Linked DNA regions of Ovis aries. The protein of the gene in region 1 purifies or fractionates together with the protein of each later gene. This does not show direct contact. Links are inferred from orthologs where the notes say so. Each region holds a gene or a part of one and is shown on either strand. Other genes may lie near its edges.

The links.
Region 2: the proteins of KSR2 (region 1) and MAP2K2 purify together in Homo sapiens (affinity purification with mass spectrometry; 3 studies listed by BioGRID and IntAct, with this or other methods). This does not show direct contact. The link is inferred for Ovis aries from reciprocal best matches to the Homo sapiens genes KSR2 and MAP2K2.
Region 3: the proteins of KSR2 (region 1) and FKBP5 purify together in Homo sapiens (affinity purification with mass spectrometry; 3 studies listed by BioGRID and IntAct, with this or other methods). This does not show direct contact. The link is inferred for Ovis aries from reciprocal best matches to the Homo sapiens genes KSR2 and FKBP5.

What each region holds. Positions count from the first base shown.
Region 1 is NC_056070.1:57,243,522-57,247,584, reverse strand, and holds the start of KSR2 (kinase suppressor of Ras 2), read right to left. Parts: upstream 2,821-4,063; 5' UTR 2,125-2,820; coding exon 1,945-2,124; intron 1-1,944. UniProt on the Homo sapiens protein: Location-regulated scaffold connecting MEK to RAF. Has very low protein kinase activity and can phosphorylate MAP2K1 at several Ser and Thr residues with very low efficiency (in vitro).
Region 2 is NC_056058.1:17,717,498-17,721,054, reverse strand, and holds part of MAP2K2 (dual specificity mitogen-activated protein kinase kinase 2), read right to left. Parts: intron 2,165-3,557; exon of another isoform or gene 1,637-2,164; coding exon of another isoform or gene 1,496-1,636; intron 1,424-1,495; coding exon 1,277-1,423; intron 1-1,276. UniProt on the Homo sapiens protein: Catalyzes the concomitant phosphorylation of a threonine and a tyrosine residue in a Thr-Glu-Tyr sequence located in MAP kinases. Activates the ERK1 and ERK2 MAP kinases.
Region 3 is NC_056073.1:9,818,930-9,823,218, forward strand, and holds the start of FKBP5 (peptidyl-prolyl cis-trans isomerase FKBP5), read right to left. Parts: upstream 2,848-4,289; 5' UTR 2,738-2,847; intron 1-2,737. UniProt on the Homo sapiens protein: Immunophilin protein with PPIase and co-chaperone activities. Component of unligated steroid receptors heterocomplexes through interaction with heat-shock protein 90 (HSP90).

The DNA.
Region 1 (4,063 bases):
AGATGCACTCCCAGTAATTGCCACCTCCCACCATACCAATGCCTACCTCTCCCAGTTTAAAATACCTCTCTATGCAGAAAAGAAGCAATGGAATCAGTGGCCCACTGCAACAATCACCATGAGCCACAGAGCTCTCAGAGGATGAAGCATGTTGAAAAGAAAAGAAAACTAGAGAAAGTTACATACTAATACACAAGCTAGCATTTGGGACTTCTGACTCAGAGGATCAGAAGAGACCTCCGGTGGCCCTTTTGGGTTATTTCTTTATTTACAGCATGCAATTCTGAACAGAATCTTCTCTGAGGCACTGCTCGAACAGAGACGGAAGGCTGGGCCAGGGCATCCCACACTTTTTCTTCCATCGGCAGAGTCCCACCCTGCATGGCTCTCCAAAGCTCTGAGAAAGAAAATACCTGTGCCTCCCAACAGAATTCCCACGCCTCTGCTACCCCTTGACACTTATTTCATTTCTGACAGTTATTTTCCCAGGTGACAGGTGCATACAGAGACACATTCTAGGGGAGCAAATAGCATATTCAATATACACAGACACACACACACACTAACTTCCACTTTCAAACTGGTGACCTTCCTGCCTGCTGACTGACATCTGGCCAAATTTAAAACCATGGAGGAGAAAGACTTGAAAGTGAATCAGGGAGAGGTGCTCATCCATGCTGGGACAGGAGCACAAAGGCTAAAAGATTCAGTCCAGGATTGAAGAGTGCAGGCCTTGGAAACACTCGGGCTGGAACGAAGGGCCCTCCCAGCTCTGCACACGCCAGCTCCACCACAGGAGAACCACTTTCCTCTGCTCCCAGCCCATGGCCACCACCCTCAGCAAATGCCAAGTAATGGGAGTTCCCACATTTCATCAAGCCTCAAGCCATGTGTACCACCCGCCGGTTTGAGGGAGGGAGGTGAGTTAAACCCTTCAGGTGTTTGGAACAACGTGGATGCCAGGCATTTTCTAAACCTCTTGAAACCTCCTTCCTTTGACCAGATGGCCTTGGAAAGGAATAATTTCTGCCATCTTCTTTCTGAGTAACTTTGCATCCATCCTACCTCCCACCCCACCCCACCCCCCTCCCCCCCGGACAAAATTGCTTCAAACTCCCCCTCAAGTTCTGTTAGAGAGAATGTTATAACACGCCAAAGATAACTCCTCCTCCCGACCACCCTCCTTTTTTTTCACCGTCCCACCAAGATTCCAGAGTATTTTCTCACACCACCTGTGTGTGCCGATCCAGGCTTTTTCTTAAAAAAAAAAAAAAAAAGCATGCTTCAGGCCTGCAACAGCTCCCTGCATCAAAATGATTCGACTGGAAATGGGGAGCTCAACGGGGAATTCTTTTTCAGGCATCTTGCCTCCTGACTTGTGTACCCCTGAAAACAAACAAGCCAAATCCAAGGAGCCCAGGGTGGGGGGCGGTGGGAGGGCTGGGAAGGAGACCAAGAAAGACGAGGTCTACATTTCCAGGCAGCCCCATTCCGCAAGCAAAAACCACCTTTTGACCACCTGCAGAATGCGCAAGGTCACGTGGGTTCTCTGCAGCGCCTTCACGTCTTTACCCTGCACACAAGCCCCCCGCGGCATATCAACAAATCCACAAGCGGAAAAAAGAGAGAACTCACTCCTCAGAGAGGAAGCGAACGATAACCACAGCCGCCAGAACAATAATAAAGAATAACAATTACTACTACTGCTCCCACCACCCAGCCAAGCGGCAGCCGACAGCGGTACAGTGAAGGGACATCCAAGCGCAGGGTTTGCAAGATAAATCACAGAAGATCGAAGACCGAACCGTGCCCACCTTGCAATCCTCCCACCCCCTCCACCCCACCCCCAACAAACAGAATCAAGGAAAAAGGGGATGGTGGGGGAGAAAGGGGAGGGGAGGAAGGATTGCTTTTTTTTCTTTTTTTTCCATAGGCAACACCTACCTCCAAGGTCCGGATTTCTTTTTGTGTGAGGTCGTTGGAGGTAGCACATTTGGTCCTAAGCCCTTCCAGGTTGGAGATGCTCAGGTCTATCATGTTTTGGACCAACTCGCACTGCTGTAAGGCTTTTTGCAAACTCAGAGGCTGCTGCTCCTCGCTTTTCGTCATGTTTTCCTCATCCATCGCTTGCTCTGCAAGCCCCCTTCCCCTCCTCCTCCTCCCAGAGAGAAAAAAGGGGGGTGTGGGGGGGGGAGTAGAGGTAGTCTATCCCCTACGCCTCTCCAACCACTGCGACTTCTCAACAGTGTCTCATGAAGAAGAAACCCAACATCTCACACAGGGTTGAGGGGGTGGGGGTGGGAGGAGGGGACAAGAGCCAAAATTTATTATTTTATTTTGGGGTGTCAAGCAGACTCCATTAGAACGTCTCCCCTCTCTGAGTCTCTGGTCCCTGAGAAGAAGAGATGCTGTTTCTCAGAAGCAAACCAGGTGATGTGATGCTGTCTGTACACTTAGCGGGGGGGCGGGGGAGAAGGAGGAGGGGGAGGGAGAGGAGGAGGAGAAGGAAAATAGCGCTCACTCTTTACACACCGGCTCCGTGAAGGACAAAATTATATATTTTTGGCTGGCTGGCTTTTATGTCAAAAAAAATCTGGTTTGCCCCCCTCCCAGCTGCAGTTACACGGCATTGTCCACCGTTTGGGGTGCTTTAGCGCGTTCTCAAGATGCTGTCTGCATTGCTCCCGCGGCTGCGGCGGCGACTGCGGCTGGCTGCTGTCTCGTCCTCGCGCTGCTGCTGCTGCCGCCGCCGGGCTCCGGGGGTGACGGCTGCTGCATTCGCTCCTGCCTCGCTCCACACCGACATCTTGCCTGTCAATCACGGGGAGGGGGGAGCGAGGGAGCGCCGGCGAGGGATGGAGAGCGAGCGAGAGACCTGCAGGGGAGCGGGTTGGTGGAGAGGCGCCGTGCGCGCATCCGCCCCCGCCGGGCCCCGGCTCCGGCGCGCCAGGGACCCGCTGGAGAAGGCGGAGGTGGAGCGCGCAGGCTCGCGCACCTGGCCGGGGAAAGGGACGGCTCGCGGCGCGGGTACGGGGAGCGGAGGGCGGGATTTCTAGGGGATGCGGAGCTCGCGTGGCAAAGTGAAATTACTACCGGGCGTGCGTGCGAGCGAGCGATCGGCAGGCGGGGGGCGGGGGAAGCGCGCGCGGCGGCTGAGGCTGCTCCTGGGGGCGGTGGAGAAGGCAGGGAGTGTGCCAGAGCGCGGAGACTGGGCGAGGGGGCGGGGAGAGGGATTTGGTGGCCGGGCGGGGGTGGGGGACACTACTACTGCACCGCTCTCGCGAGAGGAGGCCGGCGCGCGGCTCAGCAGGTGCGCTCTGGCTGGGAGCAGGTGTGTGTCCAACTTTAAACCCCATAGTGCGTGCTGGAAAAACGTCAGCGTGAACCTGGGCACGTCCGCTCTGGCTTTCTGGCTAGAAGGGTGTGTGGGTGTGGGTGGGTGGGTGTAGGTGTGTGGTGGGGCGTGGGGTGTGCGTGTGTTTGCTTGTCCTCCCTTGATGGTATGTGGGGGCAGGGGGGAGGGGGACAAACCTGATGCTCTCCCTTGGGCTGTAGGAAACTGCCTCCCAGAACTGACACCCAGGCCTTCAATCGCCCTAATGGGTGACTTTCCATTTGGAGAGTGAAAGGGGCTTTGCCTTAATCTGATTGTTAACCGTGTCCTACATGTCCTGCATGATCTGATCCCAGAATACCTAACTGACCTTCTATCAGCAAACTATGGTCCCAGAATTACAAATGGATTTTATGCTACAAACAATATATGCTGGAGAGGGTTTGAAGAGAAGGGCATCCTCCTACACTGTGGAAATGTAAGTTGATGCAGCCACTATGGAGAACAGTAGGGGAGGTTCTTAAAAAACTTAAAGCTACCATATGATCCAGCAACACCACTCCTGGGCATACATCTGGAGAAAATCATAATTTGAAAAGATATGTGCACGCCAATGTTCAGTGCAGCACTATTTACAATAGCCAGTACATGGAAGCAGCCTAAATGTCCCCTGACAGAGGAATGGATAAAGAAGATGCGGTGCGGTGCATGTACACAATGGAATATTCA
Region 2 (3,557 bases), on another chromosome or scaffold:
GCACATGCTATGCCTGTGTGCTGTGGCCAGGAACACAGAGGAGGTGGAGGTGGGGAGGGAAGAAGGAGAGAGGTGGGGGTGGGAGTGGGGGGTTCATTACAATACAGCAGAGGCCCCCTCAGACCAGAGTGACCTCACGTCCATTTCTCACCCTAACTCTTCCTGACTCTCATCTGCAAGGAGGTGGCCAGGTGGGCGGGCAGATATGACCGCCTTCTCCCCAGTGAGGAAAGGGCACCCACTGGGCACTGCCAGGTGGGGGCAAAGCAGCTGTGGGGAGAACCCTCCCCGTGGCTCACAAGCATTCCTGGTGGGCTCTTGCTCAAATTCGTTTCCTGACTTCATTACAAAACCATCAGAGAGGACAGTGCGCTGGAGGCCGGGCCTAACAGAAGCTGCCTGCTGAAAGCCACACTGCATCCTGGTTTTGCAAGGGCCCCCAAGGGCTGGGGCCTGGACAGCTGGGCTCGGGCAGGGCTCTACCTGCCGAGGGCGGGTGGCAGAGGGCCGGCAATGTTTCCTCCAGGGGCCTTCAGCTCTGACCACTTCTGCTTTCATGACATTCAATCCCACCCATTTCTGAGCCTTGAGACCAGAGTTCCTTAATGACAGGGCGCATAGGAATCAGTCGTGGTTTAAAGGAGATGGGCGCCCACCCTCCACTGCAGAGGCCTGGTCCCCACAGGCCTGAGCTGGGGGTCCAGAACTGTGTCCCAGACCACGCACTTTGGCTAGAGGACATGTGGGAAGGAGCAGTCAAGCATTTCTTCAAGCAGCCCTCCCCAGGTGGGCTTGCTTAGGTTCACAGACTTTCCTGGTTTTTTTTTTTTTTTTGGCTGCACCACACAGCATGTGGGATCTTAGTTCCCTGACCAGGGATTGAACTCCCGTCCCCTGCAGCAGATGCGCAGAGTCTTCACCACTGGACCACCAAGGAAGTCCCAGGTGCAAGGACTTTCAATGTAGCATTATTCGTAACGCGGCAGGGACTGGGAACAACCTCAGTGTCCACCAACAGTGCTTCATAAATCACCCGGTGGGTGCACATGGATGCCGGGGTGACCAACAGAGGGAACAAGATGGGGCCAGCTCTGAGCCCACAGAGAGCAGTGTCTCCCATGGATCCGGGGAGAAAGCAAAATGGAGAGGAGGCTACGTGGTGCTTAAGAAACGAAGGAAGCTATGTGCAGTGTGTACACAGCTGCACCGCCTCCCCACTGCGCTGGGCCCCCCGGAACAGGCCAGGGCTCTGGGGGGTGGGGGAGGGCGGGCTCACCATGTGTTCCATGCAGATGCTGATCTCGCCGTCGCTGTAGAAGGCCCCGTAGAAGCCCACAATGTACGGGGAGTTGCACTCGTGCAGCACCTGCAGCTCTCGGATGATCTGGTTCCGGATGGCCGGCTTGATCTCCAGGTGGATCAGCTGCGGGAAAGAGGGGCGCGGGGTCAGGGCCGCACCGCTGAGGGGGCGGGAAAGGAGGGGTCATCCACCTACCTGGGCGCTGAGGACGCACACCCAAGAGCAGACTTGAACAGGAATGTTCACAGAATCTGGAAGATGGGAGCAACCTGTACGCCCTGAATCAACTGAAGGAGGGACAGGCCGAGGATGCTGTCCCTCCACGCATATGAGCATCACTCAGCCATGACGAGGAGAGAAGCCCCGACACTCGCTACCACATGGATGCGGCCTGAGAACATAACGCTAAGTGAGAGGAGCAGACACAGAAGGACACACAGGGTGTGATTCCATTAAAGGGAAACATCCAGAACAGGCTGACCCTCAGTCACAGAGAGCGGGTCTCTGGTTGCCAGGGCCTGAGGGTGGGGCAGGGGAGTGACTGTTCATGGGGATGGAATGCATCTTGGGGTAATGAAAATGTTCTCAAATTGATGATGGTGATGGATGCACAGCTCCACGAATATACTAAAAATCACTGAGTTAAATACTCTAAAAGGCTCAACTGTATGGTAGGTGAATTACATCTCATTAAAGCTACTTAAAAAAAGTATCATCAGAGGCAACACTATCCACTTGGTTACAGGGGGAGCTCTGTGAACCAAATTGTGCAGTGTCACCCATCCAGGAGCAGACCCAGCAGTGCCCTGTTCAACAGGGCAATTGCTTCACCGCTGCCCCTCATCGGGGTGGGTTCCCCTTCCCCTGACAGCCGAGAGACCACAAAGAGCCTTCTGCTGCCCCCCCCCCCCCCGGGAGCCTGGCTCCCCATCCCCTTGAGTCCAAGTCGACAGAAAGGATTGTCACCAAATTCATCACGATACCTGGAAAGATGAGGAAGGAAATGACCACCTAGAGATGCAGAAGACAGCTGACAAGGGGCCCAGAGTAATGCCCAGCTACAAACCCCAAGGAAGCCAAGATTCCCCGCATGGTGGGAGAGAGCCAGGCTGTGGATCCTTGACCTGGCTGCTCAGAGTCCCAGGTGCCCAAGCCATCATGATACCACAAGGAAACAGTATAATTCCCACCCACCCCTGTCAGAGGCAGAGCCAGAGCCCAGGTATCTGAAAGTGACCAATTTAAGACATTTCTGTGGAGTTGATTACACGCAGGGCCAGTGATGAGCAGACAGCAGAGAAGGTCCTGCTTGGAGGGGACATGCCACCGGGAATGGGCGAGACACAGGCAGAGCAACCCCAGGTGGTAGAGGTGCTGATAGAGGAATCAGACAGGTGGGACCCAGGATTCCAGTAACACGGAAGCCAGGCCTCAAAGGATGGGTGGGACTCAGCCAGATGGACAAGGGAAGGTGGGGGTGCCAGGTGGAAGGACAGAGAGCTGCCTGTTGGAGGGGTGTGAGCGGAGTTCAGGGGGCACAGTGTATGTGTGTGACCCACATGAATGCCCCTTAAAACCTGAAGAACTGTGGAAGACTCTGGCAACACAGTGCCTGGTACCCACGAGGCCCCCAGGCAAAACCTCCCACCCCTACTTGAAGGTTGCCTGCAGAGCCGAGCTCTGGTTGCAGGCCCTTGGACAGCATGCCTTCCCACAGCCACCCCCAGCAGGATGGTTCTCTCTTGTGAGGGGACACCCAGCTCGTGCCCACAGACTAGGTCAACTGCAAAGAACAGACCCAAGAGGATTCAAGCCCAAGCCAGACACCAACCAGCTCAGCCTCAGGTCCTCAGTAGAACAGAGCTGCTGGTCTACAGGCACAGGAGTGCACACTGAGGTTTTGTGCCAGCTTTGACTCAGGGCCATCACTCCAAAGAAGGGGGCCAGTGTTGGGACGTGGCCTTGGGTAGGCCTGTAACTCCGTTCTTAAAGCCAGAGGGGCTGAGGGCAGGAACACACACAGAGGCTGAACACACATTCCTTTGCTGGGAGCACAGGAAGTCAGGAGAGCCACGTGGGCGCAACACACTCCCGGGACTCGAGCCTGGGGCTCTCACTAAGATGCAGGAGGAGTAGGGACGCCACTCTGGAGTCCAGAGAACATTTGGAGACCAGCTCCCTTGGGTCTTGTGGGACTGGTCAGGATACTGCCCTGCCCATCAGAGGGCCAGGAGGGACCACAGCCCAGAGCAGGATC
Region 3 (4,289 bases), on another chromosome or scaffold:
AAATAAACAAGTATTACTATCTAACAGTATCGTGTGATTTAGCCTCAAACGTAGCTTGTTTCACATGTGTCCCTGTTTTTCTGTAGCTTTGTTTAATCAAAAATATTTGCCCACCCCCAAATTCAAAAGGAGCCACACCTGAGGGTAAGTGACTTAAAAATACTCCCAACATTTATTACGTAGATGTAAGAATTCAACTTATATTTAATTTTGAAGCTATAATGTGGTTGACCATTTTACGATACGGTCTACCACAAGTTAAAAGTGGACAGAAATCAGTAATTGAAACATGTAAAAATTGAATTTGAAAACAGTATTTTAATTAAAAGGCACTTTTACAGTTAAAGTTCCCAAAACATGCTTTTGTAAATTAAACTATGAAATATAGCTTTAATTTATGGTATGTGATACATTTAAGCATCACAAGATAAAAACTATAAAACTTCTAATTATACACAATAGTTAGACTAATATACTCCTATACACTTAAAACAATTATATAGACCACCCATAACCCTAGTCTCATAAGATTCCTCAGAACTACTTATACAGAATAAAACTCACTCTGAACAAGTCACTGTTCAATCTACCTTCACTAAGCATCGAAAAGCCAACTCAGCTTTCAACAGTAATAATTTCTTCTACAACTATAGAAAGAGAATGTTCTTCCTTCTCTAGACTGATTGTTCTAAGCTAAGACTTTAGGAAACAAAACAACCGAAATATGTTCTTTTTCCAATGCAAGAATAAACAAAATTGAAGACTTCACTAGTTCCTAATCCAATATTTTAAAATGGTCATGTTTGAAAGACAAAGAACTCACAGCAGATAAGCCTGTTGTTTTCAAGAAAACAAAACAATTTTTATGAAAACTATCTTTGATTAAAAAAAAAAATCCCGAACAGTCACAACTAGCCTATCGGTTAGAGTGCACCTTTCAAAGGTGTTACTAATTAACATGTGACTAATAACCATTCAATGAAGCACTAATAAAGTAACATAATTAAATCAAAAGTGTAACTGTCCTTAAGAAGTTCCTTACATCTCTTATTCAAATCATATCCAGCACAGACATTTTAAAAAAAGACACATAAGAAGAAAAATCTGAGTTATCTAAACCTTCATAATATATTTTAGAATAATTATATATTATTTTTAAATTTTTTCTAAAATTGGTCAGGGCCATAACTGTAGATTTTAAGTGAGGTCAGCCGGGAGAGAGAGAGAAACAGAAAATAAGTGGAAGTATAACATAAAAACTTCCACAAGAATAAAAAGTTGTTCAACTCTACCCTCGAATTTTAAAATAAATACTCTTATGCGGGGCGGGGGGAGGGGGGAATGGGTGAAGGAGAATTCCCATAGACTATTAAAAATACTGAACCAAAATATGCCTCAACTTTTCCCTCGTCTATAATCTAACAAAACGAGAAGACAATGAAAATAAACACTCCTGTGTGCCCTCAGAGAGGCAAAGAAAGCTCCCATTCAAAGCTAAGCCGTATTCCACTCTTGTAAAGTAAATCCAAAACCACGAGCTCAAACTGCTTCATGCAGAATTTACTGAATGGCGGCCAAACGTTGTACACTCTGTCCTGAACCACAGCGAAGGATATCTCGAGCTCTGCATTCTCCATTTACAACTTGTACCTTACTATGCATGCTTTCACCACCACTGCAGAAACCGATTTTTAAACTAAGATGTTCCTCCCGGCCAAGTCAATGGAAAGAAGGCAATCTACCCGCTGGCGACACTCCCCACCTTCCCCACCCACCCCGCACCCCAAGCAATACTAGTTTTTGACTCCTATACTGCGGTCAGCACACCTTAAAAAAAAAAAAATCATTATGGGAGAAGGCGTTACAAAGCCCCCGGAGAACTGAATTACCGAACCCTGAAACAACTTTTCAGTGGCTCTCACCTGGCACTTGGGATAATCACCTGTTGGAACGGCGCTGCCCCGGTCCCCTCTTACCGGCAGTCGAGGGCGGGGAGGCCGTGTTCCCAGTCACTGGTCCCCCTCCCGGGGCGGCAGGTGAAAGACGGGGAACGCGTATATCCACACCCACCGCCCCGGGAGCGCAGACCGAAAGCCGGGGACCGCGGCTGCGGCGGGACGCTCCGTTATCCCTCCCCTCGGCGGGCCCGCCAGGTGAGCGAGGCTCCATCGCGGCCGCGATGCGTCCCGGCGCACGGCTCACCGCCGGCCCACTTCTCCCGCCGCCCGGGCCCGGGAGACCGAAGTTTCTCTCCCGCTCGCGGCGGCCGCGGCTCACGGGCCGCCTGGCTCTCGGGCGCCGGGCCGCGGGCGAGTCGGGGGCCGCCGAGACAGGAGCCGGAGCCGGGACCTGTTACCCAGGGCGGGAAACCAAAAAAAAAAAAAAAAGCCGAGTGAGGACCAGCGGGGCGCGACCGGCCTCGTCTTCCCAAGGGAGAGCGCGGCAGGGGCGGGGAGCCGCTCCCGCGGCCGCCCGGCTCCGCGCCTCCCGGAGGCGAAGGGAGCCCCGGCCCCGCTCGCCCGGCGGGGCGCAGAGGATTCCCGCGGGGGAGCCTGGGCGCCTCCAGCGCGCCCGCTCCGAGGCGTCTCGGCGCCGCCCGCCCCGCAGCGCGGTTCCCGGGCTGGGGCGCCGCGTGAGGAAGCGGCACAGCGGCGGCAGGACCGCGAAGGAGGGAACGCGGCTCCCGGGGCCGGGCGGCCACCCCGCCTCATCCCCCCCGTGGCCATGGCGCCGGTACCTGTCGCCGTGGCGGCTCGCCCGTTCTGTCGCTCTGCCTCAGCCGCGCGCCGCCAGCCCCTCAGCCCGCCCAGCAGGCCGCCAGCGCGCCGGACGCCGCCGCCGGAGACTGGCAGCGCCCGCGAAGCGGCCAGAGTCCCCCCGGGCAGCGCCCGGCGCAGTCCCGCCCCCGCGGGCCGCAGGACCCGCCTCCCATAGGGCCCCGGGGCTGTCAGTCCGCCCCAAAAGACGCGCGGGCTGTCGCTCCTCCTATCCCGATTGGCGGCCGAACGCCGTCCATGCAAATAAGGCCCCGCCCCCGGCCATTTGCACCTCCGCCTTGGTGTAACCTCCGCCTCCCCCACGCCAGCCCACGTGTCTGGCCCTTGCCCCTTTGTGGGCGCTGTAGGGAAGAGAGGGAGGAAACTGAACGACGCCCCCTCACTCCATCCCTTACCTCCGGGGAAACTAATGCCCAAGCAAGCTAGTGGACTTCACATTGGGACCTCTCTCTGACAGTTCTGCCCTCCTGTCCGCCCACCCGACCTGATTCGCGGAAGGAGAGGGGCAGGCCAGGCTTGTTTGCGTCAGGTAAGCAAGCTAGGTTAGCCCCGGGAAACAATACCAGGGGAACTGGTATTGTCCATTTGGAACTGGGGGGAAAAAATCCCATCTGGAGAAACCATAGCACGTAGCACTTGCCTCTGGACACTCAGGGACTGTTAAGACTAGGCTTTCCCTCCGTCTTCTACCTTTCAAACATGAGATCCCAGGTGACTGAGACAGCAGAGGATTTCTGTGTTTTCTTAAAAGATGTCTGTGTTCTCTGCCGCCTGCCAACGGGTAGGTCTGCTGAGCAGCTGGACTTCAGGAGGGGGCTCAGGGCCCCTGGAGTGTAATGGCCAAACCAAGATTGGGATGAAGGGGACTGAGCTAGCAGCTCCTGGGCCTTAGGGAGTGGCTCGCTCAATCTCATTCTTGAGGAAACAGGAACCTGAAGTCCCACAACTGTGGAGCTTAATAATCACCTATTGAAACCTAACATCTCCTAACTCCACATCTGGCCTCAACACTATATCACCTAGGGTCATTTAGGTATTTATGAAGAGTTTCTTCTGCAAATAACCATCCCTGCCTTCAAGAGGTGCCACCTGCAGAAACAACCACTAGAGCTGACGCTGAAACCTCCTCAGTGAGGGCAAAGGCCCTGCTTCAGGGCCTAGAAGCTTACCTTTTTACCAGATGCCAAAGAGTGTCACTGAAACAGTTTATTTGTGCATTAATTCTGCATACTAATGCCAATCGTTTAAGCATCTACTGTGATTTTAATGGGGCTTCTCAGGTGGCGTGCTAGTGGTAGAGAACCCACCTGCCAAGGCCCGACCGTCAAGAGTCACGGGTTCAGTCCCTGGGTTGGGAAGATCCCCTGGAGGAGGGCATGGCAACCCATTCCAGTATTCTTGCCTGGAGAATCCCCATGGACAGAGGAGCCTGGCAGGCCACAGTCCATAAGTTCTCTGAGACACAACTGAAGCGACTTAGCATACACCCACATGCTTTTTAACAGCCTGGAG